5 linked regions of the Macaca fascicularis genome follow. The protein of the gene in region 5 interacts with the protein of the main gene of each other region in a biochemical or structural test. Links are inferred from orthologs where the notes say so. Each region holds a gene or a part of one and is shown on either strand. Other genes may lie near its edges. The genes, in order: TJP3, PKP4, CLDN1, TANC1 and PATJ.

Region 1 (3,294 bases), on a different chromosome or scaffold from region 5:
CAGACGTTTGCAGCCTGCCTGGAGAGCCCGGCTGTCGGCTTGGCTTTTGGCCATAAGGAAGTGATATGGCTCAGGTCACACAGCTTCGACCCCAAGCCCACCGGGCCCGAGTCTGTTCTCCACCACATCTGAGGGGTCTCCCAGAATTGAGCCCCTGCACTTCAGGTCTCTGGTTTATGAGAGGGTAAACTGAGGCCCAGAGGGGGCTACAGGCTGCCAGGCTGTCCGGCAGCTGAGTGAGGCCAACGGCCCCCGCCCTGCAGGAGACGAAGTCGCAGACGTCGGTGACACTCAGCATCGTCCACTGCCCGCCCGTCACCACCGCCATCATCCACCGGCCCCACACTCGCGAGCAACTGGGCTTCTGCGTGGAGGACGGCATCGTGAGGCCCCGGCCCCTGGCCCGAGGTGGGGAGGAGGGCGGCCCTGAGCACGGCCCCTGAGCAGCCCCCACCTCTTTCCCATTCCCCGCTTTCCTCCCCCAGATCTGCAGCCTTCTCCGCGGCGGCATCGCCGAGCGCGGGGGCATCCGTGTGGGCCACCGCATCATTGAGATCAATGGGCAGAGCGTGGTGGCCACGCCACACGCCCGCATCATCGAGCTGCTCACCGAGGCCTACGGCGAGGTGTGCAGGTGGTGGGTGGTGGCCAGGGGCGCCCCCACGTCCCTGGCAAGCCCAGGCCTGCCCTGAACCCCATTCTGCCTCCACTCCCCAGGTACATATCAAGACGATGCCAGCCGCCACATACCGCCTCCTCACAGGCCAGGAGCAGCCCGTGTACCTGTGACCACCATGTCCCTTGCCTGCCACTGTGCCTTCGCCTCCATGGCCCCGGAGCCCCATCCTGGGCCTGCCTTGGCTGGCCAGGACCCCAGCGGTTCTTGGTCCTGTATGATTTCCTGATATAAAAACAGTAAAAGCTTATGCAAGCGGCAAAGTCTCGGATCAGGGTCTACGAGACCGAGGAAGGTGAGCCCGGGGATTGGCCCTCTCACCACCTTATCCTTCCCGGAAGCCACTAGAAGCCGGTGCTGTGAAAATACTCTGTTTATTAAAGACCAGGTGGAGGGAGGTGGGGTTGCGGGTTCTGTATGGGAAACTGAGTCCCAGTCCCAGGGAGGGAGAAGGAGGACGGACCAGCTGGCAGCCTGGGAGAGGTCACAGGTCAGTGGCCGGACCCCAGTCGTAGCCTTCTTCATCGGAGGACTCCGCATCGCGGACTCGTGTAAACTTTTTCTTCAGGGCTTCCCGTTCATAGGTTCTGGGGATCAGGAAATAGAATAGATGCTGTGGGTGGGGAGCGTGTGAGCTTTCCCACTGTAAACTGAGGCTGACTGTGCTAGGCACAGTGGGTGTGGGCAGAGATAAGCACATCTGGGCATTCATGGGTAGCGCCTTGTTAACAAACTCCTATGCATCCCTCAAAGCCCCAGCTTCAATGTCCTGCCCTTCAAGAAGCCTTCCTAGCTCTCCCAGGAAGTGGATTCCTACTCCCTTGGCCATGATTATATGGGGCTTAGAGAGGCTTTGGCAGGCTCTGTCTTCCCAACTAGGCTAGGGGCACATGAAGGCATAGCTTGGATATAGATCTCTTTATTAACCCCAGAGTCTGAGTCCCAAGGGAAGGGTTGAGGGGGCCCCCAGTCTGGAATATGTGGTTCTTACCGCACACTGTCCTGTCGCCACTGACCCTGGGGATGGCTGCTGTCCACCTTGGAGGAGAGGGAGAGAGGAGCTTCAAAATTCCCCCCAGAGCATGGTAAGTCGAGATCAATAACCACGTCCATCCCATCCCCCACGTTGGCCGGGGCCATGCTGCCCAATTGCTAACCCCATGACAAGTCTGCAGGTCATCCCCAAATATAAATGAGAAAACAGGCTGGGATAGGGGAAGGCCTTAGCTGAGACCTCCTAGCCTGTCAGCAAAAGGGGAATTGCGTTTCTTATCTGTGCAGGTCCTCATAGGGCCACTGCCATGAGTTCATGTATGTAAAAGACTTAGTATAGTGGCTGCTCCATATGCGGCCGCCATGGACAGTTGAACAGGTTGGGTACTGCACAACCCTAGGAAAATCATTCTAATCAGAGATGTCATCGATTCATAGATTTTTACATTGACCCAGAGAGGGTGTGGAAGAAGATGCTGAGGCATATACACTAAGAGCTACATACACCTTTGTTAAACACCCAACTACAGCTGGGTGCCGTGGTTCACGCCTGTAATCCCAGCACTTTGGGATGCCAAGGCAGGAGGATCACTTGAGCCCAGGAGTTAAGAGACCAGCCTGGGCAACATAGCAAGACCACATCTCTGCAAAAAGTGAAAAAAATTAGCTGGGCATGGGTGATGGTGCGTGCTTGTGGTCCCAGCTACTCGGGAGGCTGAGGTGAGAGGATCCCTTTAGCTCAGGAACTGGAGGCTGCTATGAACTATAATTGCACCACTGCACTCCAGCCTGGGCAGCAGGGCAAGACCCTATCTCTAAAATTGAAAAAGTAAAATACATAAATTAGGTAAGTTAGGGCAAGTTCAAAAAAACACGCAACTACTATGTGCCAAGACTTGGGCTGAGTACATTGAGTGCTTGCCACTGCCCTGTGCCACCAAGTCTGATACCATCCACCCTGTGTCCTAGATGAGGAAACAGGTGCAGAGAGAGGTTAAAATGTTGGCTGGAGGCCAGGTGCAGTGGCTCACGCCTGTAATCCCAACACTCTGAGAGGCCCAGGTGGATCACCTGAGGTCAGGAATTGGAGACCAGCCTGGCCAACATGGTGAAACCCTGTCTCTATTAAGAATACCTTAAGAAAAAAAAAATAGCTGGGCATGGTGGTGCTCGCCTGTAATCCCAGCTACCTGGGAGTCTGAGGCAGGAGAATTGCTTGAACACAGGAGGCCGAGGCTGGCGTGAGCCGAGATCATGCCACTGCACTCCAGCCTGGGCGACAGAGCGAAACTCTAACTCAAAAAAAAAAAAAAAATTAGGCCGGGTGCAGTGGTTCATGCCTGTAATTCCAGCACTTTGGGGGGCTGAGGCGGGCAGATCACCTGAGGTTGGGAGTTTGAGACCAACCTGACCAACAAGGAGAAACCCTGTCTCTACTAAAAATACAAAATTAGCCAGGCATGGTGGTGCATGCCTGTAATCCCAGCTACTCAGGAGGCCGAGGCATGAGAATCGCTTGAACCCGGGAGGCGGAGGTTGCGGTGAGCTGAGTTGGCGCCATCGCACTCCAGCCTGGGCAACAAAAGCGAAACTCCGTCTCAAAAAAAAAGAAAAAAAAAATGGCT
Region 2 (3,579 bases), on a different chromosome or scaffold from region 5:
CTCTTGGGTTTCTTTCCATATACTCACAAATGTAAGTACAAATGTTTTAATCTGTGATTTGTATCACACTTGCAGGGTATACTGAGTAAAGACAACACTTCTGGGTTTGACGCCATGGGGGTTAGTTCCTAGTTTTCCTAGTACAGCTATAGGTAAATTAGTTCCTAGTTTTCCACGATGGCACTTAACCAATGTGGCATTTCCATATTTACACAAAGATCCAAGAGCTAGGGCTGAAGGGTAGAAACTGCAAGACCCGAGAAGGCCTCAGATTTTGGGCCTGGTGCCCCTCATTGTCTCCACAGATGGAGAAAAGCTCCCAAGTAATGCTGTGTGGTGCTATGGGGACCTCTGCCTACCCTATCTGTGGGGCTTCTTTCCCCTGCCCCATTCCTAATCCAGGAATTACTGTCTCATGGAATTATTCAACAAGATCATAATTTAGAATTTGTTTTATTATATTGGTGCCAATGAAATAAATGCCCAACCACTATTATTATGAAGTTACCGAGTTCTTAAAAACGATGCCTAAAAAAGTATCAATTTAGTTACGGCCACGCTGCCAGATATAACTTGTCTTAGGTGAAGAGTGATGATATGTACATATGGGTCTGAGAAAAACATGATAAAACTGTAAAGTGTACTAGATTTAAAATAGATTCCAAGAAATGAAAACACCTACATAGTCAGAGGAGGAAAGTTCATAGCTTAATTCTTTGGTGTGGTCCATCTTACAAAGTATATATAAAACTAGGAAAAGTCCAAAATAGTTGGATATGTTTAGGCTGTTTCCAACATGCAGTTAGATTTGTGTTTATTAAATCTGCTTTTCCATATACATACAGAAAATTTAAAAAGAATAGAGAACACATTTCCAAGGATGAAATTTCCACATTTATTTTTCTTTTATGTGCATAGAAAATGGCAGTGAAGTGTCCTATGAACGAGGCGAGGAATGGGCATGGCGCTGCGGTACCAGCCTGGACGTTGTGCTTCCAAAGTACACTACGCGTGGTGGGGACAAAGGGCATCGCAGTTTGTTTTTAATTGCTCACAGTTCCTTGGGCTTCCCATTTGTTTTTGAAGTTGTCAGTTTCTTCAAATCTCTTCTCAAGTGACACACTGCATTACAAATGATGGCACTTAACCAATGTGGCATTTCCATATTTACACCAACAAAGAAATTTACAAGACATAATAGCATACAATCTTGACATTTAGTAATAGCAATAAAACATGGGCATCCATTTTATTTTTTCTGTACAAACTATCAGAACATAACTTTATTCACATTAAAAAAATCTTTAATTTGATTTGACCTACACATCCCCCATTTCATTTCACCCATTTCTCAAACCTCTCATCACGTCACCCACACCTTCACCAGACTACAGAATCTATAATTAGATCTAACAACTAAATAGAGCTTAGAAAGTCCTCTCCCAAAATTTCCTCACTTCCCTGATAATTCCTCAAAAAAGAAAAAAAAAAACGCACTTCACTCATTCCTTCCACTTCACTTTCACATTTCAATCATCAAATCAGCAAGATGGACTTTTCACCTCAATCCAAACAAGGTTAGAAAGAAAGAGTTCCTCTGTCGGGCATCTTGATGCTACACCCATGAGTCTGGGGACCCTGGGTACTGTTCTGCTCTATAAGAAGGTCGTTTAGTGGAATAAAAGTCTACATAATTTGTGGTCGATTTCAGTCCGTACTGTGTTGAGTAATCAGTAGAAGCTGGAAAGTGAACTCGGTCATCAAAATAAGGGTCTTCATAGCTATGAGGAGACTGCAAATACAATCTGTATGCATCAAAGTTCTTTCTGTTGGAGTCATCTTGACTATAATACAGCTGTTGATGCTGTTGACAAAATGAAAAGGCAAATAAATAAAAGCAATTTTTTAAAAAGACGTGTCAGGAAAATTAATGTGGGCTTCTTGCTTCATATTTTTAAAGCAATATTCAATAGTTGCAGCTTAAAGTTAAAAGCTGTTTCTGGCACACACTATGTGTTTGTTTACTATTGGACTCTAAGGATTTTAAGCTGCACTCTCAGGCAGGCTGCTGAGTTTCCTGTCCTAAGACCTCTAGAGAAGTAGGTGCCTCAGGAGAGCCTGAGATCTCCAGGTACGTGGCCCCAGCGGCTTCCCCTCCTTACTGGAGGCCCTGCTGTGTGCTCAGCTGTGGAGGGACCCGTTACCTGGGCATGCCGAATGAGAGGATGGTCTTGACATTTGCTTTGACACAGGGGAATTATTAGCACATCACTAATTTAGTCGAAGATTGGGTTTCTGGGCCTTGCATAATTGCATAATTACCGAACCATCTTTTAAAACATTTACTTCGGATATGAAGATGGAGTCCATCTCTCCACTTTAAAAGATGTATGTGGCTAGGTGAACAATAGTCACACTTTGGAAACTCTGCTGTAAGTCGTAATATTAAAGGAATAAGCAATCTCAAGGTAGAAGAATAGTAAAATTAGGAGAGACATGTGAGCAAATATGGTTCTAGAGGAAAAGGCTTCCCCAAGCCAAGGCTAAGTCCATCTGTAAGTGGGCAAGGCCAGGCACACGTGGGCACCCACAAAGGGCACACTGCTCTCCATTTCCTTTTGTTCGGTCTTAGCGTTGACCTCACATTAATTTCTTCAAATTGTGATGGTTATTATGTCTATCTTCTTGATCATGCCCAAATCCCCCTACTTAGTAAGATGTAACAAATTTACCACACAGGAATTAATGTTATGTCCTGGAACTCAATGCATTCTAACATTATAAGGATTTCAGAGCTAAATTCTCTTTTCAAGCCAGAGTTATGATTCTGGTCTATTTTTCCTGACTAAAAAACTATGGCATAAATTATGAATAACTTGGAAAATTCGTTTTCTTCCATCTACAGAGAAAAGATGATGAGAAGGAGAGGTCTTAGAACACATCCTTATCTGAAGGACAGGATACAGTCTTGTTTTAGGAAACTCCAGCTGCTCTGTTATTGAAAGGGAAGAGGAGCGACCAGATGGTCCAGGTTCACCACGGCACCGGGAAGGACCTGAGACTGACTGCAGGCCCTTCATGAAAGCAAAGCCGGGATGTGTTATAACCGCCAGTCCCACTCTCCCACAGTGAGGTCCATTCCGGCAGGGGCTGAGTCCACTTTAACCACCGACACAAACAGACCTGGCCATGGACTCAGTGTTTTTAAATTGTGGAGCCTGGACAGAGAGGGGTGAGATGGAGAATGAGGTATACACAAAAGAGAACAAGGTGATGAGGGCATGAAGTGTGCTTACCAACCTTCCCTCACCCAGAGGCTGGAAGAGATTTTAAAGCTTAACAGAAAAAGAGTGGGAAAAGGACACCGCTGGGCAAAGGACATGAACTAAAGACTTCTTGGCTGTCCCCATCAGTGGCGTGGTGGTCTCAGCAGTACCGATGTGGATACTTAAGAACGTGAGGCTACCGTGGAAATGCTTTGCTTAAACCACGGGTGAGTTTCCAAGGAGTGAAGATCCCCAGGGAAAGCATCTAGGGCCCTGCCGTGTTGGCCCAGCTCTGGGAAGTCAACCGACGTGG
Region 3 (4,749 bases), on a different chromosome or scaffold from region 5:
AGGGTCAATAAAATCTCATACTTTGGATGAAATGGAAATTGTATCAGCCATTGTAAAACTACAATACACAATGTGACATTTGTTTCCCCCAGGAAGTTCCTCAGTTACATTTTCATAAACTGCTTGCCAAGAACTACCTAAAAGAAGAAGACTTGCTGTATCTCATTTTGTATTTACTGTATACACTATTAGCACACTGTATTCCTTCAGCTACTTTATGAAGGTCATATGCTTTTTACAACCTACCCTACATAAACCAGGGAAACAAGAGATTTTAATACCTCCAGTGCTAAAGCCTTGGCAAAGCCCTGCATCTGGGCTCGAAGACAAGTGTTCTCTACTGGGAAAGACAGCAAGGTACAATTTCAGGAAACCCACAGCTAAGCTTTTCACCTAAACACACTTAATGAAATGCAGCTTTTTTATGAGGGATACTGCTTAGATATACACACATAACCCTTTTCGTCTCCACATGTAACAAAACTATCCCAAAACCGGCCAATGAATCACCATCCCAGATCTCTACAGCTGGTGGGCGTAAACGCCACTGCTCAGGCAGAGAAATGGAGTGAGGTTTCCTGGACTCCATCCAAAAGCATGCCGTGAGTCATGGCAGGTTCGAAGAGAAAACCTGTGAGTCCAGGGTCCCTCTTCTGAGAATGGGTTTTGAGAGAAAGGTGTAAGCCACACCTTGGATAAACTATGGCTTTAAGTAAAACAAAAGTGGATTCTGATCTGGAGTTTAAAAAAAAACAACTAAGAAGACACCTCTAAAGCGTATGTGGGGGAATAGCTATTTAGTCCTTTCACCGCAGTTTCAAAAACTGTGATAACTACATTAACCAAAAAATGAAAGGAAAACATTTTAACACATTATCGTGTGTAAGGGTGATCCCTTTGAGTTTTTACAACATGGATCAATCTGATTTCATGTGGTCATTTCAGGAAAGTTAAAAGAAAACCTATTTAAAGATGTTGAAAGGAACTATTTTGATCAGAGGAACAAAACTGACAGTGAGGCCTCTCTGGAATTGTCCTTAGAAACCTCCGTCTGCCAATTCCTTAACGTGCCACCTAAAATGCCTGACACCGTTTCCTTAAATATATCTATCTTTCCATGGAGAAATTCAATAATTATTACCTAATTTTTCACTTTATAAGCACAAATATAACCCATGAGGGCAATGAGCAACACATAATTACTAAACTTAGAGATTGGTTTTGGTGTAAAGAAGTCCTAACATGGGAACCTTCAGAAGCTGAAATCCTAACACTCAAAACGACCATGCACATTGACTGAGCCAATGCCACAGGTATTCAAGGTGTTTAAACAGATGTGGAACAGGTTTAATAGCTCTAAACTATATGGCTTTTGATATACACTATTAAAAGTTGTCCATTGATAGGAGGTAGACAAAACAAGTTAAGTAAACTTGAACAATGCCAACACTTTCCGCCCTTAGCACACAATGGGGGCTAGTGGGCAGTCACGTTTATCTAGGCAAAGACTAAGGGACCTTTTCTTCAAGTGAGTTAAAGGGCATAACAGACACATGATATAAGACAAGTAATGTGATTTCTCTAGGAAGATACTCCAGCCATGAATCATTATTACCTAAGTAAACGGGAATTTAATGATTTTTCTGACAAGGCACTCAAAACCTTTAGTTAAAAAAAGTAAAAAATTATCCTATTATCCTTCTTCCCACCATCCTTAGAAATATGTCTCTCTATACAATCCTTTCCAACGTGACAAGGGGTCACTGAACATCCATTACACAGAAATTCCTTTGTGGAAGATGGAAACCTAAGGAAGACCCACCTCTTCTTTCTCTCTCACTGCCTTCCACTCCCAGCTGACCTCTGATTTCATCAGCTATGACTATTTTGCTGCATTTCCCTTCAGTGCCTTTACTTTTCCCTTTGTATTATGTTGGGCAGGTTATTTAGAACCTTTGTTGTCAGCCTTCCCCCACTTGCCACCAACCTTCTCTTTCCAAAATAGAACTACACCATCAGCCTCCACCGAAGACCTTGGGTGTAAAACTTCAAACTTTGGGGGAATCTCAAGCGGCTTCTCCAGAGTCTTGCAAGGGGCCTCCCTGCACTAACTAGATCTTACACATTAAAAGAATCATCCTCAAGTATGAGCAGAAGACACTTCGGACATTTCAAGTAGGAATGTAAATTTTACTATGCAAAATCATAGTAAAGGTTACAAAAATTATATCTCATACTTGAGGATTATTTATTTAAGCTTGCACACTTGAGAAGTTACCAGGCTCCAAACTTTTAAAGCCATCCCATTTTTCTTGTCTGAACCCTACCAATCCTCAATTTACCCCAGATCTCAGAATGCCTAGGAGAGGTCTCAGAGCTCAAGTTCAAGTTTAGCCTTCACTCCCTCAATCTCGACCCCCCGGCATAGGAATTTAGGATGAAGCCACACCTAGAGTGGCAGAAAAGTATCACCCAGGGAGTTTTAGGCAAAACTAGAGCTTATGCCTGGGCGTCCCTTTTCTCAGACCAGGATTCTCTTCATTTCCTTATGACAGAGCACATGATCAGAAGACTTGATCAACTAAAGACTGATAACCATGGAATCACACGACAGAATGAGACGGTAAGGGAGCTGCAGGGGGACTGGGGCCTCTGGACGGCTGGGAGGTGGGGTGCACTCACTGCTCAGATTCAGCAAGGAGTCAAAGACTTTGCACTGGATCTGCCCGGTGCTCTGCGACACGCAGGACATCCACAGCCCCTCGTACATGGCCTGGGCGGTCACGATGTTGTCGCCGGCATAGGAGTAAATCCTCCACTGGGGCAGGGCAGTGCTGACGATGGCGCCGATCCATCCCAGGAAGGCGAGAATGAAGCCCAAAAGCTGCAGCCCCGCGTTGGCCATGACTCGCTCGGCCGCCCGCGCTGGCTCAGGGGTGGCAGGTGCAGAAGGCAGAGAGTTTGCAGGTGCGCAACGCGGGCTCCCGAAGGTGGCTGGGCCCCGCGGAGGAAGTTAAAGCGGGGAGCCCTGCTCGCTGCGCCGCCGCTGGAGAAGCTCTGGGTCCGGGCTGGGGTCCGGGGCCCGGGCGGCGCTGGAGTCTGGATACTAGAAGCTGCGGTTGCTCCCAGGCTCAGGAACTGAGACGCCAAACCGCTGGGCGCCGCGATTTAAAGCAGCTCCGCCCGCCTCGGCCCCGGCAGCCGGGGAGCGCCCCCTGGCGGTTTCAGGGCGGCTCACCGAGAGGGCGCCGGGAGCGCCGGGTTGGGGGAACACGCGGCTGGTGGCGTGGGGACCATCCCGCAGGACCAGGCACTATAGCTGCGTCCCTGCTCGTTTTCTCTGGTGGATCTTCCCGCTCCTGTCAGGCGTTTCGCGCTTTTCATTCATTCACTCCAATTATCCAAAAATTACTATGCACTGTACCTGTAAATCCAAAAAACAAAGATGAAAAAATGAGCCCTCAAGAGCTGCAGTTTTAGGTTTAATACCTTTTTCCTATTGTTTTATTAAAAGGCATTTCCACCCAACTCCGCATCTCCTCCCCCATCACACACATTTCTCTCTCCTTTACTTGGCTTCCTCCCCCTTCTCCTTTCATCTCTCTGCTCCCTTCTGTCAAGGTCGTTCCATTACTTGTCTCTGCAAGAGAGAGATCTTTACACTCTACAAATTGGGAAACAGACCCAGAGAGGAACATGATTTACACACACACACACACACACACACACACACACACACACACACACACACAGCATATCTAGTACTTGGCTCCCCTCCCAATCTGCTTTCCACTACATATCAAGTTGACCCAAAAATACCCCCTTTGATCTCTGATTGTCCTTTTTGATGTATTATTGTCCTTACGAAAATGCAGCCTAGCCCTCCCCCGCCAAACACCAACCTCCTGCCCACAGCAGTTATGTCTTAGGCAGCAATTCATTATCAGAGAGACCTGGTCGGTGCCCCGCTCTCCCTGAAAGATGTTAATTTTGTGAGTTATCACATGCTGTTCGTCACAGGTGAGGGCATGTAAACAGCGTTTCCCAGTGGAAGAAGGACTGGGCTGGAGTTGAGGAAGTCTGGGCTCTGGTTCCAGCTTTTGCTGTGACTGGCTATGTCACCCCTCCGGTTTCGGTCTCGCTGGGACTGTAGTTTCCCTCTATGCTTCTCTAAAGCTTCCTTCTTTGTAGTTAGTCAGAAGTGCTGCTGTGGTTAGGAATAATTGAAGTGTTTTCCCACTGCTTTTTGTGCGTGGTGCGAGTGTGGTGGGAGGGGAAGCTTCTATGGTTTTAGTAAAAACAGAAGCACCTTGGAAGCAGAAATAAACATATTAAGGAGAAAACAAGATATACTCTTATATACCATGGCAACTGCTAGTGGGTGACAGAGAAGGAAAGGTGCAAATGCTCAAGGAGGGAATGGGAGGAAAGGCCAAGCCCCACCACCTTCATTTCCACCTGGCTCTCCCTGGATGCCTTTCGTGTAGGCTTACCACTAAAGGACTTGGCCGTGCTAGGATTTGGGGACAAGCACTGAAGAATGTAAAACAGGAGTTAGATGAAGACATTTAATTTGGACTAAGATTAACACAGTGAATGCTGTCTTTCTCCTATCAGCTGTTTAGGGCAAGACCATGTCCCTGTTGTATCCCAGGGTTTGGGCCTGCAGTCAGTACTACTTTCTAGGTCTCGGTGGATGTTCTGTGGGTGCCTGTCAGTGTGAATGAAGATGTATCAATCACATTTGAT
Region 4 (4,160 bases), on a different chromosome or scaffold from region 5:
GCCTTTTTAAAAAGACTTCCCACTGTTGTTTCTGAAGTATTTAAATGCATGTGCTCATTTAATATAACAATATAGATAAAGAGGGCAGAATACAATCACTCCCATTTTACATGGATGCTATCTGAAGCTCTGAAAACTTACACAGCTGAGAAGAAGAGGAACGTAAGGTTCCTGGTTCCCATGCTCTACTGATTGCGAAATTGTGCTTACTGTGTAAAAAAAGACTGAAAAATATACAAATTGAATGTCCAAAACACACTCATCAAGTTCAACTGAGGTATAATTTCAGTTTTTATAATGAAAAAATTCCAAATGCTGTTTTTAAATAAATATCATAAAAGGGCAAAAATCAAAACCTAATGTCTAAAAGTCTTTACTGAAACACGATAGGTATAGAAGGAGTCAATGGTTAAGATACAATTTCAGGATTCAAGAGAGAAGGAAGATGGAGGGGAAAAAATATCACCCTACCGCTTGCTGCAAATGTTACCTCATGTTTAAGTTTTACGAAAAAATAGACTTCTGAGAATAGGCCTTAAAAATCTTTCACCTTCAGCTGGGCACAGTGGCTCGCGCCTGTAATCCCAGCACTTTGGGAGGCTGAGGCGGGTGGATCACCTGATGTCAGGAGTTGGAGACCAGCCTGGCCAACATGGTGAAAATCCATCTCTACTAAAAATACAAAAATTAGCCAGGCGTGGTGGTGGCTGCCTGTAATCCCAGCTACTCGGGAGGCTGAGGCAGGAGAATCACTTGAACCCGGGAGGCAGATGCTGCAGTGAGCCAAGATCATGCCACTGTACTCCATCCTAGGCGACAGAGCAAGACTCTATCTCCAAAAAAAAAAAAAAATCTTTCACCTTCATTTTTCCCTTCAAAAAAACACAAAGCCCCACAGCAAACCCATGCAAATAACTACCAGCAGGAGTAGGTTTAAACTCTGGCAGGCCTCTTGGCCCCACACACTCCATGACGGTAACCAGGGCTAGATGCCACCATTTGAAAATGTGCAATTCGATGCCAACAGGAAACTTACCTGACATCTTGATAAATATGCCTTGAGCTAAAAAGGTCAGAGTTTCACCCATGTGGGGCTCTCTGGACTAATTTTTCAAATTCTTAACATAGTTTCTAATTCAAGCAGCTGAATGGTTTACAACAGTTTTATGTTATTAATATTTATCACTGTAAAATTGGAATATAGGGACTTGGAGAAAGATTTGAGAATTCTTTGTTACCTGAAAATTTGCTCTTACAGTCACAATCAACTTCAACCAGGCAGGAAATTTAGAAATAATTTTGGTAATAAATGAAGAAAGCGTATCTCCATAATCAGGTTTATGAAACTCAGCTTCATTTAAGCCATCTATCAAAATAATGTATTCTTCTTCAGGAATTTTCTGCTCTACAGGATAAAATAATTTTTTCAAATTAAGAAATTATACATTTCTCTAAGACAGCAACACCCAGTGTATTTTAGTGCCCAGTTTAATGTTAGAAACTAAAAAGGTTTACATATGGCACAAGAAACAGTTTTCACAGAAGCATATTTTCTATTAAATTTATAGTGAAAACTGGAGCACAGAGCCAAAAGAAAACCAATTCTCACAAAACAAACATATTGCATGACATACGTTAGCAGAATCTCACTCATGTATATAATACAGTTAGCTCTTCATAAACCATTGTCACTGGGGTGAGCTACACAAAGATAATGAACACATAACAGACTTCCAATCCAGAAAGGTCACTAGGTCCCCCATGAGAGCTCCTTAGTGGATTCCAGGGAAGGGAAACTGACATCCTCGCTGCCCCCAACCCAGGGCAAAGTGCCCGGCCCAAGCCACACAACCACACAGTGTGAGAGCTCCACACTACTGACTCCTCCAACAGGGCTCTTCTCCGCGAGCCAGAATCTGGTTTCCTATTTATTAGTGCTGATTTTCTGCCCAGGAAATAGAGAAGAAATGATGACATATCTGTTTTCTATCCCTCTAGCACCTTCCAGCAGAGGGGCCATGTGGGCAGATAAACAAGCTCAAAAGGTGAGGAGGTGAGGGGAGAGAAGATGGGAAACTGAAGGGACCATCAGGTCACTGATACCTTGTTGGGGACAAAAAATTAAAATGGAAACCTTTAGAAGTCACTTTAAGGTTTCAATTCAACTGAGCAGAGGCCCTGACAAATATATATTCTGGAAAATTCCTCCAAATAATCCACTTATTCCCTCAGATACTTAGGAGTGCAAAATACACAACAGTCTTCCGTGGTGCAAGTCATCTAAATAGCCCACAGTTACAAACTACTTTGGAACCGCTCAGTCATCACATTCATTCTTATCAGGGTGCTCCTTTTAACACTATACCACAGGGGTGGTGTAGGAGGGACCTCATGGGGCTGGTTCTGAGAAAGAGGAGCGGATGGGCACTGACGCTTCCACATTCTCTCCCTGCTCCAGCTCACTTCTACCCCAGGGCCCCGCTGACCACCTGCCTTCTGGGGACCACCTGTGTATGCTGTACCACTACTGAGAGGGGCTGTAGGTAGCTGCTATGAGGTACCATTTCTCAGGTTTGTGAGTGGCTCCAGCACTCCCCTCTTGAAAGCTGCCACCGGGTCCTGCACACAGGATCGGAGACTCAGCATGCTCTGTAGTTGGGGCTCCTTTATCAGAAGGTCTCTGTAGGCGGCCAGCTGATGGGACCGGCAGAGCAAAGCTGCGATGCTGTGCACAAACTCGGGCACCAGGCAAGTGTATGTGTTGTCAGCCTGGCAGTAGTGGTAGGCCACCACCTAGGGGGAAGCAGAACTGTCAGCGTCACCTCACCCTCTTCACACAGCTCCTTCTGCGATCTCAAACAGGAACACAACTCTGCTCGTCCGCTGATAACAAGATACATAACATCTATTGCCCAAGACTGGGTCATTTGTTAGCATAATTGTTCCATTTATTCCTTCCTTCCCTTGTGTGGTTTGCGAACCTTTAACTGCATCCACAAAATCCATCTTGATTAGCATAAAAATCAGCACGTTACTTTGTATTGAATATAAGCAAACAGCATTCATAAAATGTAAAATTTACCCTGGCTTAGAGCAGCTCCAAGCCATCCTAATATTCTCAACATCAAAAAGTGCCATCTTCACTAGGCTTCTGTTCTCAAGAGCAGCAGCACCTCTTTAGGAAACCCTTTTGCTGATCCCAAAAGGCAGATGATAAAGCCAGAGGCTGTGAGACCGGGGCTGCAGAGTCGCAGCAGCTCCTTCTCCTGGTCCAGAGGGTCAAGACGTTGGCCCCTCCCCACACCCGCACTGCATCAAGGGACACTGTGGAGAAGTTCAATAGGGACGCTGTCTGAAGAATGAAACCCGAAATCACCAATTCTCTGCCCATCATGTGGAGAGACAAGTTGGAGGAGAGAGGGAGCTGCCTGGGTACTGAGAGGAAAAGGAATCGTTCTGTTCCAAGGGACCTGCAGCATCAGCAGGCTGCTTGTGAGAGGGACGCCAGGAAACGGCCAGACACAGAAGTGTTGGGAATGGGAGGCATGCAGTAGATAGAAGAAAAATCCAATACTTTTCCAAAGAAGGATGATAGGAGAAACACAAGTACAAGGTAAGGAAGGCAAAGAAGAGCAAAACACTTGTGCCAAGAGATACATGTTTTTTGGAAGTATCTGCCTTGCTGCTGTCCCACTGGACGCGGCAAGACCCTGCAGGAAGTAGGACAAGAACCACTAGCCACAGTTCATCACTGAGGGCACCAGACACTGAGGTTAGATGCCTTGCCAACCTGACACAGATAGTCAAGGATGTGGGATTAGATCCCAGGTCTGCAGACTCTTTAAAAGACAAGTGGCAAAAGTAAATGTGCAACAGCTTTCCTCTGGCCAACCTGGAGCTGCCATGAGACTTTTGGTTTAGATTAAATTTATCGTCAACACTCAGAGGAAAGCTGGCTGCTCTCCAACTCTCACCTGGACAGAAATTAGCAGGGATACACGTGAGCATCCTGTAAGCTTGTGCAAACCATCATGAGATGTCCAGTACCACAGTCTTGCACGGCGTTTCACAAAAGCAGCTTTGCTTTTTTTTCCATGACCCAACAGTGGGTCATGAAATCTATTTATTTAGTTATTTACTTTTATTTTTTATTTTTTTGA
Region 5 (4,872 bases):
CAGAGCAAGACTCTGTCTCTAAATTAATTAATTAATTAATTAAAATTAAAATAATTTTGGCTAGGTGCAGTGACTGATGCCCGTAATCCCAGCACTTTAGGAGGCCAAGACAGGTGGATCACTTGAGGTCAGGAGTTCGAGACCAGCCTGGCCAATATGGTAAAACCCTGTTTCTATTAAAAATACAAAAATTAGCCAGGCATGGTGGCACAGGCCTGTAATCCCAGCTACCCCGGAGTCTGAGGCAGGAGAATCACTTGAACCCGGCAGGCGGAGGTTGCAGTGAGCTGAGATCACGACACTGCACTCCAGCCTGGGCAGCAGAGCAAGACTCTGTCTCAAAATAAATAAATAAATAAATATTTTTAAAAATTATCTGACCTCCGTTGTCTGACTGTAGGTCGTAAGACCCCCATAAGAAGGGGTCCTGCCCATACCCTGGAGGAAGGAATGCTACAGAGAGAGGCCAAGAAAAATCTGAACAGATAGGCATTGCTGGGTTTCCCCTACTCCATGCTTCAATTATGTTTACCCAGTGAAGTCTCCATAAAAAGCCCAAGAAAATGGGGTAGGGAGAGCTTCTCAATATCTGAACACACGGAGGTTCCTGGAATGTGGTATGCCCCTTCTCAAACCTCACGTTATGCATCTCTTCCTCTTGTATCCTCTGTAATATTCTTAATAGTAAACTAGTAATAAACCTAAATAAGTGTTTTCTTGAGTTTCGTGAGCTGCTCTAGCAAATTAACCAAACCAGAGGAGGGGGTTATGGGATTCCCAATTTATAGGTGGTTAGTCAGAAGCCAGGGTAAAACAATCTAGGACTTGTGATTGGCATCAGAAGTGGGGGCAGTCCTATGGGATCTGACACTATCCCCAGGTAGACAGTATCAGAATCGAACTGGAAGATGCTCAGCTATTGTTTGATGCAGAACTGATTACCCCACACATTTATTTGGTCACAGAAATCTTCAGTGTTGATTGCAGTGGTGTGAGAGCAGAGGAAAAAGTTTGTGTTTTTCCTCTTACCCCTAATAGGATCTGGACTAGTAAGGGCAAATCTCTTCAGAACTCCTTTTATAAGTTCTAAGTTCTATCCATAAGTATTTCCATATTTATTAACTTTCTTATTATTTTTGTGAAAGTTGCAGATACCAGGTCAAAATCACTTTTTCTCAGACCCAAACAAACTAGAGATGAAGAGCATGAGGGAGAAAGCTCATGCTTGCATGTCTGAGATAAAGATCTCAAGAAACTAAAATAACCCCCTAAGAAATTCTTTCTTTAGGAATGCAGTAATTCAGATAAGATAAGATAAGATAAGATAAGATAATCTTTTTTCCCTTTTTTTTTTTTTTCTTTTTTGAGGCAGGGTTCTTGCTCTGTCACCCAGGCTGGAGTGTAGTGGTACAAACGCCACTCACCGCAGCCTCCATCTCCTGGGCTCAAGCAATTCTCCTGCCTCAACCTCCCGACACACCTGACTATTTAAAAAGCTTTTTCTGTAAAGACAGCCATGTTGCTCAGGCTGGTCTCCAACTCTTGGCCTCAAGCGATCCTCCTGCCTAAGCGATCCTCCTGCCTAAGCCTCCTAAGTAGCTGAGATAACAGGCATGAGGCAGGGTGCCAGACCTGATAAGATGCTCTCCATAACACCTGCCCAGTAATGGCATGTTCGACAATGGCCAACTCTGACTTGGAGTCTGCAAAACCAATAAACTCTGTTTTCAAGCAGCTTATCTGCACTTACTTTGCCAATAAAAGTTTCCCTTTACCCTCCCCTCTTACATGCATATATGGCTTGCCAGGGCTGTGCCCCTCGGGCTACAATCCTCATTTCTCATTCCCAAATAAATTCAACATATTTGGAGTGTTTTGTTGTTGTTGTTAACAACATCTTAAAGGCATTATGGGCCCTAAAAACATCAAAGCTCACTTTAGCTAAAAGGCTCAATCTCACCTAACATTTTCTAATGCTGCAAACAGATTTAAGTTCTTAACTGCTGCCCCTGCCTCCACTTCTTTCAAATAGATGTGTGCAAATTAATTGGCCGCCAATAGGAATTTAGCCCAGAATGTGGTAGTATCATCCTCAGTGGAATCGACATTGTCCTTCAGGGTTTCCAAAGGCTTCTTCAATCATTTAAGAAACACTTGTCGCGCACCTACCAATAGCCAGACCCTAAATGCAGTCGAGAAATAAGGCCCTGAAAGGGGCACCCTCTAAATGGCAGAGGCAAGTCAGTAAACAACAAACTCGAATCCAAAGTGCAAGAGTCACTCGGAAATATGACAAAGTGCCAGGTGAAGGGGTGTTCACTTAATTCGGCCTGCGTGCGGGACGACTGGGGCGCTTTGGAGGGTGGGAGTGATCCGAAAACGCTTTTCTGAGCTTGATTTAAAAGCAGGAATCCAAGAATTTCCCCTAAGGCTGGAAGCACTTTCCGACCGAACCTCCCTTTCTACGTAGCAAGGCTGGCAGAGCCCAGGGCTTGACCGCTGGTTTGGGAACCTCCGCTACGGGACGCGGCCGAGCCCAAGTCGCCCACTCAGCCCGGCTCTGAGCACCCCCTCCTCTTTGTCCCCTCACCCCGTTCCCTCCTTCCACGGCCACCGATGGAGGGAAAGACTCCGCCCACCTCTGGGAGCGAAACATGGGCACCGATCTGGGCGCAAAATCGGATCCGTGCCACCCCCGAATACCAGTGGGCCGAGATTTGAGGCCCGAAAGGCCTGGGGAGGCGGGGCAGCGCCCCTCCCTGCCCGCGGCCTCGGCGAGCCCTGCGCGGCGGGGCGGGGACCACCGTGGGGTCACCCGGGCCCGACGCAGGAGGACGGCGCCCCCGCCCCGCCTCCCGGGCCAGCGCGGGCGCACGCAGCGGGCGCCCCATCCCAGCCGCGGCCCCTCTGAGCGCCCGGCGGCGCCCTCCTCCTCCGGCTCCCACCCACTCCAGGCGGGCGGGCGGGGAGAGCGCGGGGACAGGGCAGGCAGGCCCGGGAAGCCCGCGAGGGAGCTGCGCCTGGCCGGCCTCCAGGAGCGGGGACCCCCAGGGGCAAGTGCGCACCGCACAGCCGGGACCCCCACGCTTTACCTGGTGCGCTGGAGGAGCAGGTGGGAGCCCGGGTCGGGCGGGCTCGGTGTCGGCCCTGCCTCACCTGGGCGGAAGTGAGAGGCCTAGGGTGGCCGCGCCTCACCTGGCAGGCCCTCCCCTCGCCCCGACTCTCTCCGCCCGGGGCGGGGCGCCGGGGTGGCGCGGGGGCGGGGGAGGGAACCCGGGGCTGTGGGAGGCGGGCTCCAAGGAGGGAGGACGTTTTCCCTGGCTGTTTCTGTGCAGGTGAATTCCTACAGGGCGCGGGATGGCCAAAGGCCTGGGAAAAGTGGGCTGTGGGAGCGGGGGAGCGGATGAGACCGCGCTTGGTGGGGACAGCCGGCACTGACGGGGAGGGAGATCCGGACAGACCGGTGTGGTTGGAGGCCTGCGTGAAGAGCTAGACCCAAGATCCAGGAAATTGGGGAGGATATCAATGAAAGCGTTGGGTCAATCCGCTTAACACCTTGCCTTTTTGCCCTTTTCCTTTCTTAGTCTCTCATCCCTCGTTTTCTATATCCGCTGACGCAAAATAAAATATTCTAAAACGTGTAAATGTGGGAGTCATTATTTTCTTCTCATTTAGTGGAAGGAAGAAATCCAGCAGTATTTGCCTGCCGTATGCTGAGTGCTAGCTTATGCAATATCTCAATTACTCTCTGAAGAAACTAATGAGGAAACCGTGCACCAGGTAGGTTGACTGGCCCATTGTTTGGAACACAGGCAAGGCATTTTGACTCTAAATACAGTGATGATTTCACTATATATTAATTTTATTTTATTTGTGTATCACACCTTCGAGAAAAATATGCCCCGATGGTATTCTTCCACTCCCTTTAATAACTTTAGACTTTTGATGATAGGGGTTTTACTTGCCTGATACAATCCACACATTAACGATAAAGAGAATCAATCTTCAGGTATCTTATCCATAGAGTACATACAGTAATTGTTAAATACTGTGATTGACTCTGGGAAGATGTGTAAAATGGTATCCCTGTCCCCAGGACGATGAGGAATAGATACAAAACAACTACAACATAAAGACTTTTAGACCGGGCACGGTGGCTCACGCTTGTAATCCCAGTACTTTGGAAGGCCCAGGCGGGTGGATCACCTGAGGTCAGGAGTTCCAGACCAGCCTGACCAATATGATGAAACCCCATCTTTACTAAAAATACAAAAATTAGCCGGGCGTGGTGGATGCCTGTAGTCCCTCTACACAGAAGGCTAAGGCAGGAGAATCACTTGAACCCAGGAGGCAGAGGTTGCAGTGAGCCGAGATCCTGCCACTGTACTCCAGCCTGGGTGACAGAGAGAGACTCCACTGCAACAACAACAACAACAACAAAAATTAGCCTGGAGTGGTGCCGTGAGCTTGTAGTCCCAGCTACTCTGTGGGGCTGAAGTCGGAGGATCACTTGAGCCTGGGGGTTCAAGACCAGCCTGGGCGACAGAGCAAGACTCCGTCTCAAATAAATAAATAAAATTAAGATCATGCACTTGGTGCTTTACAGTTTGCTTCCTTGTTTTAAAAGAAATGTAACACTTCTTAGGCATGATAAGAAGACACACAATATCAGCATGGTTCCTGCTTTTTAGGAATTAACAAACTACTGAGGGAAATAACGTTAGGCAAATTACCAAATGGAAGCCAGACCTCAGAAAATGAAGAGATCTGTTAGGTTTTTTGAAAGCCTGGGTTAGAACTTAAACAGGTCTTAACCAGAGCCAGATTAATTTAGGTAAAATGGAGAAGGAGAGGCTTTCCAAGTCAGGGGGG

Evidence for each region.
Region 1: the proteins of PATJ (region 5) and TJP3 form a complex in vitro, tested with the Homo sapiens proteins (2 studies listed by BioGRID and IntAct, with this or other methods). The link is inferred for Macaca fascicularis from reciprocal best matches to the Homo sapiens genes PATJ and TJP3.
Region 2: the proteins of PATJ (region 5) and PKP4 interact in a test that uses a peptide from one of them, tested with the Homo sapiens proteins (2 studies listed by IntAct, with this or other methods). The link is inferred for Macaca fascicularis from reciprocal best matches to the Homo sapiens genes PATJ and PKP4.
Region 3: the proteins of PATJ (region 5) and CLDN1 form a complex in vitro, tested with the Homo sapiens proteins (2 studies listed by BioGRID and IntAct, with this or other methods). The link is inferred for Macaca fascicularis from reciprocal best matches to the Homo sapiens genes PATJ and CLDN1.
Region 4: the proteins of PATJ (region 5) and TANC1 interact in a test that uses a peptide from one of them, tested with the Homo sapiens proteins (2 studies listed by IntAct, with this or other methods). The link is inferred for Macaca fascicularis from reciprocal best matches to the Homo sapiens genes PATJ and TANC1.

What each region holds. Positions count from the first base shown.
Region 1 is NC_088393.1:4,469,188-4,472,481, reverse strand, and holds the end of TJP3 (tight junction protein ZO-3), read right to left. Parts: exon of another isoform or gene 1,715-3,294; coding exon 1,668-1,714; intron 1,264-1,667; coding exon 1,161-1,263; 3' UTR 1,035-1,160; downstream 1-1,034. Other genes in the region: APBA3 (amyloid-beta A4 precursor protein-binding family A member 3), read left to right, coding at 264-383, 486-626, 718-789. UniProt on the Homo sapiens protein: TJP1, TJP2, and TJP3 are closely related scaffolding proteins that link tight junction (TJ) transmembrane proteins such as claudins, junctional adhesion molecules, and occludin to the actin cytoskeleton.
Region 2 is NC_088386.1:54,152,292-54,155,870, reverse strand, and holds the end of PKP4 (plakophilin-4), read right to left. Parts: intron 1,865-3,579; coding exon 1,616-1,864; 3' UTR 872-1,615; downstream 1-871. UniProt on the Homo sapiens protein: Plays a role as a regulator of Rho activity during cytokinesis. May play a role in junctional plaques.
Region 3 is NC_088376.1:8,232,047-8,236,795, reverse strand, and holds the start of CLDN1 (claudin-1), read right to left. Parts: upstream 3,141-4,749; 5' UTR 2,906-3,140; coding exon 2,683-2,905; intron 1-2,682.
Region 4 is NC_088386.1:54,606,555-54,610,714, reverse strand, and holds part of TANC1 (protein TANC1), read right to left. Parts: intron 2,794-4,160; coding exon 2,562-2,793; intron 1,406-2,561; coding exon 1,239-1,405; intron 1-1,238. UniProt on the Homo sapiens protein: May be a scaffold component in the postsynaptic density.
Region 5 is NC_088375.1:172,972,175-172,977,046, forward strand, and holds the start of PATJ (inaD-like protein), read right to left. Parts: upstream 3,219-4,872; 5' UTR 3,113-3,218; coding exon of another isoform or gene 2,655-3,112; exon of another isoform or gene 2,644-2,654; intron 1-2,643. Other genes in the region: uncharacterized protein, read left to right, coding at 2,655-3,112, 3,676-3,724.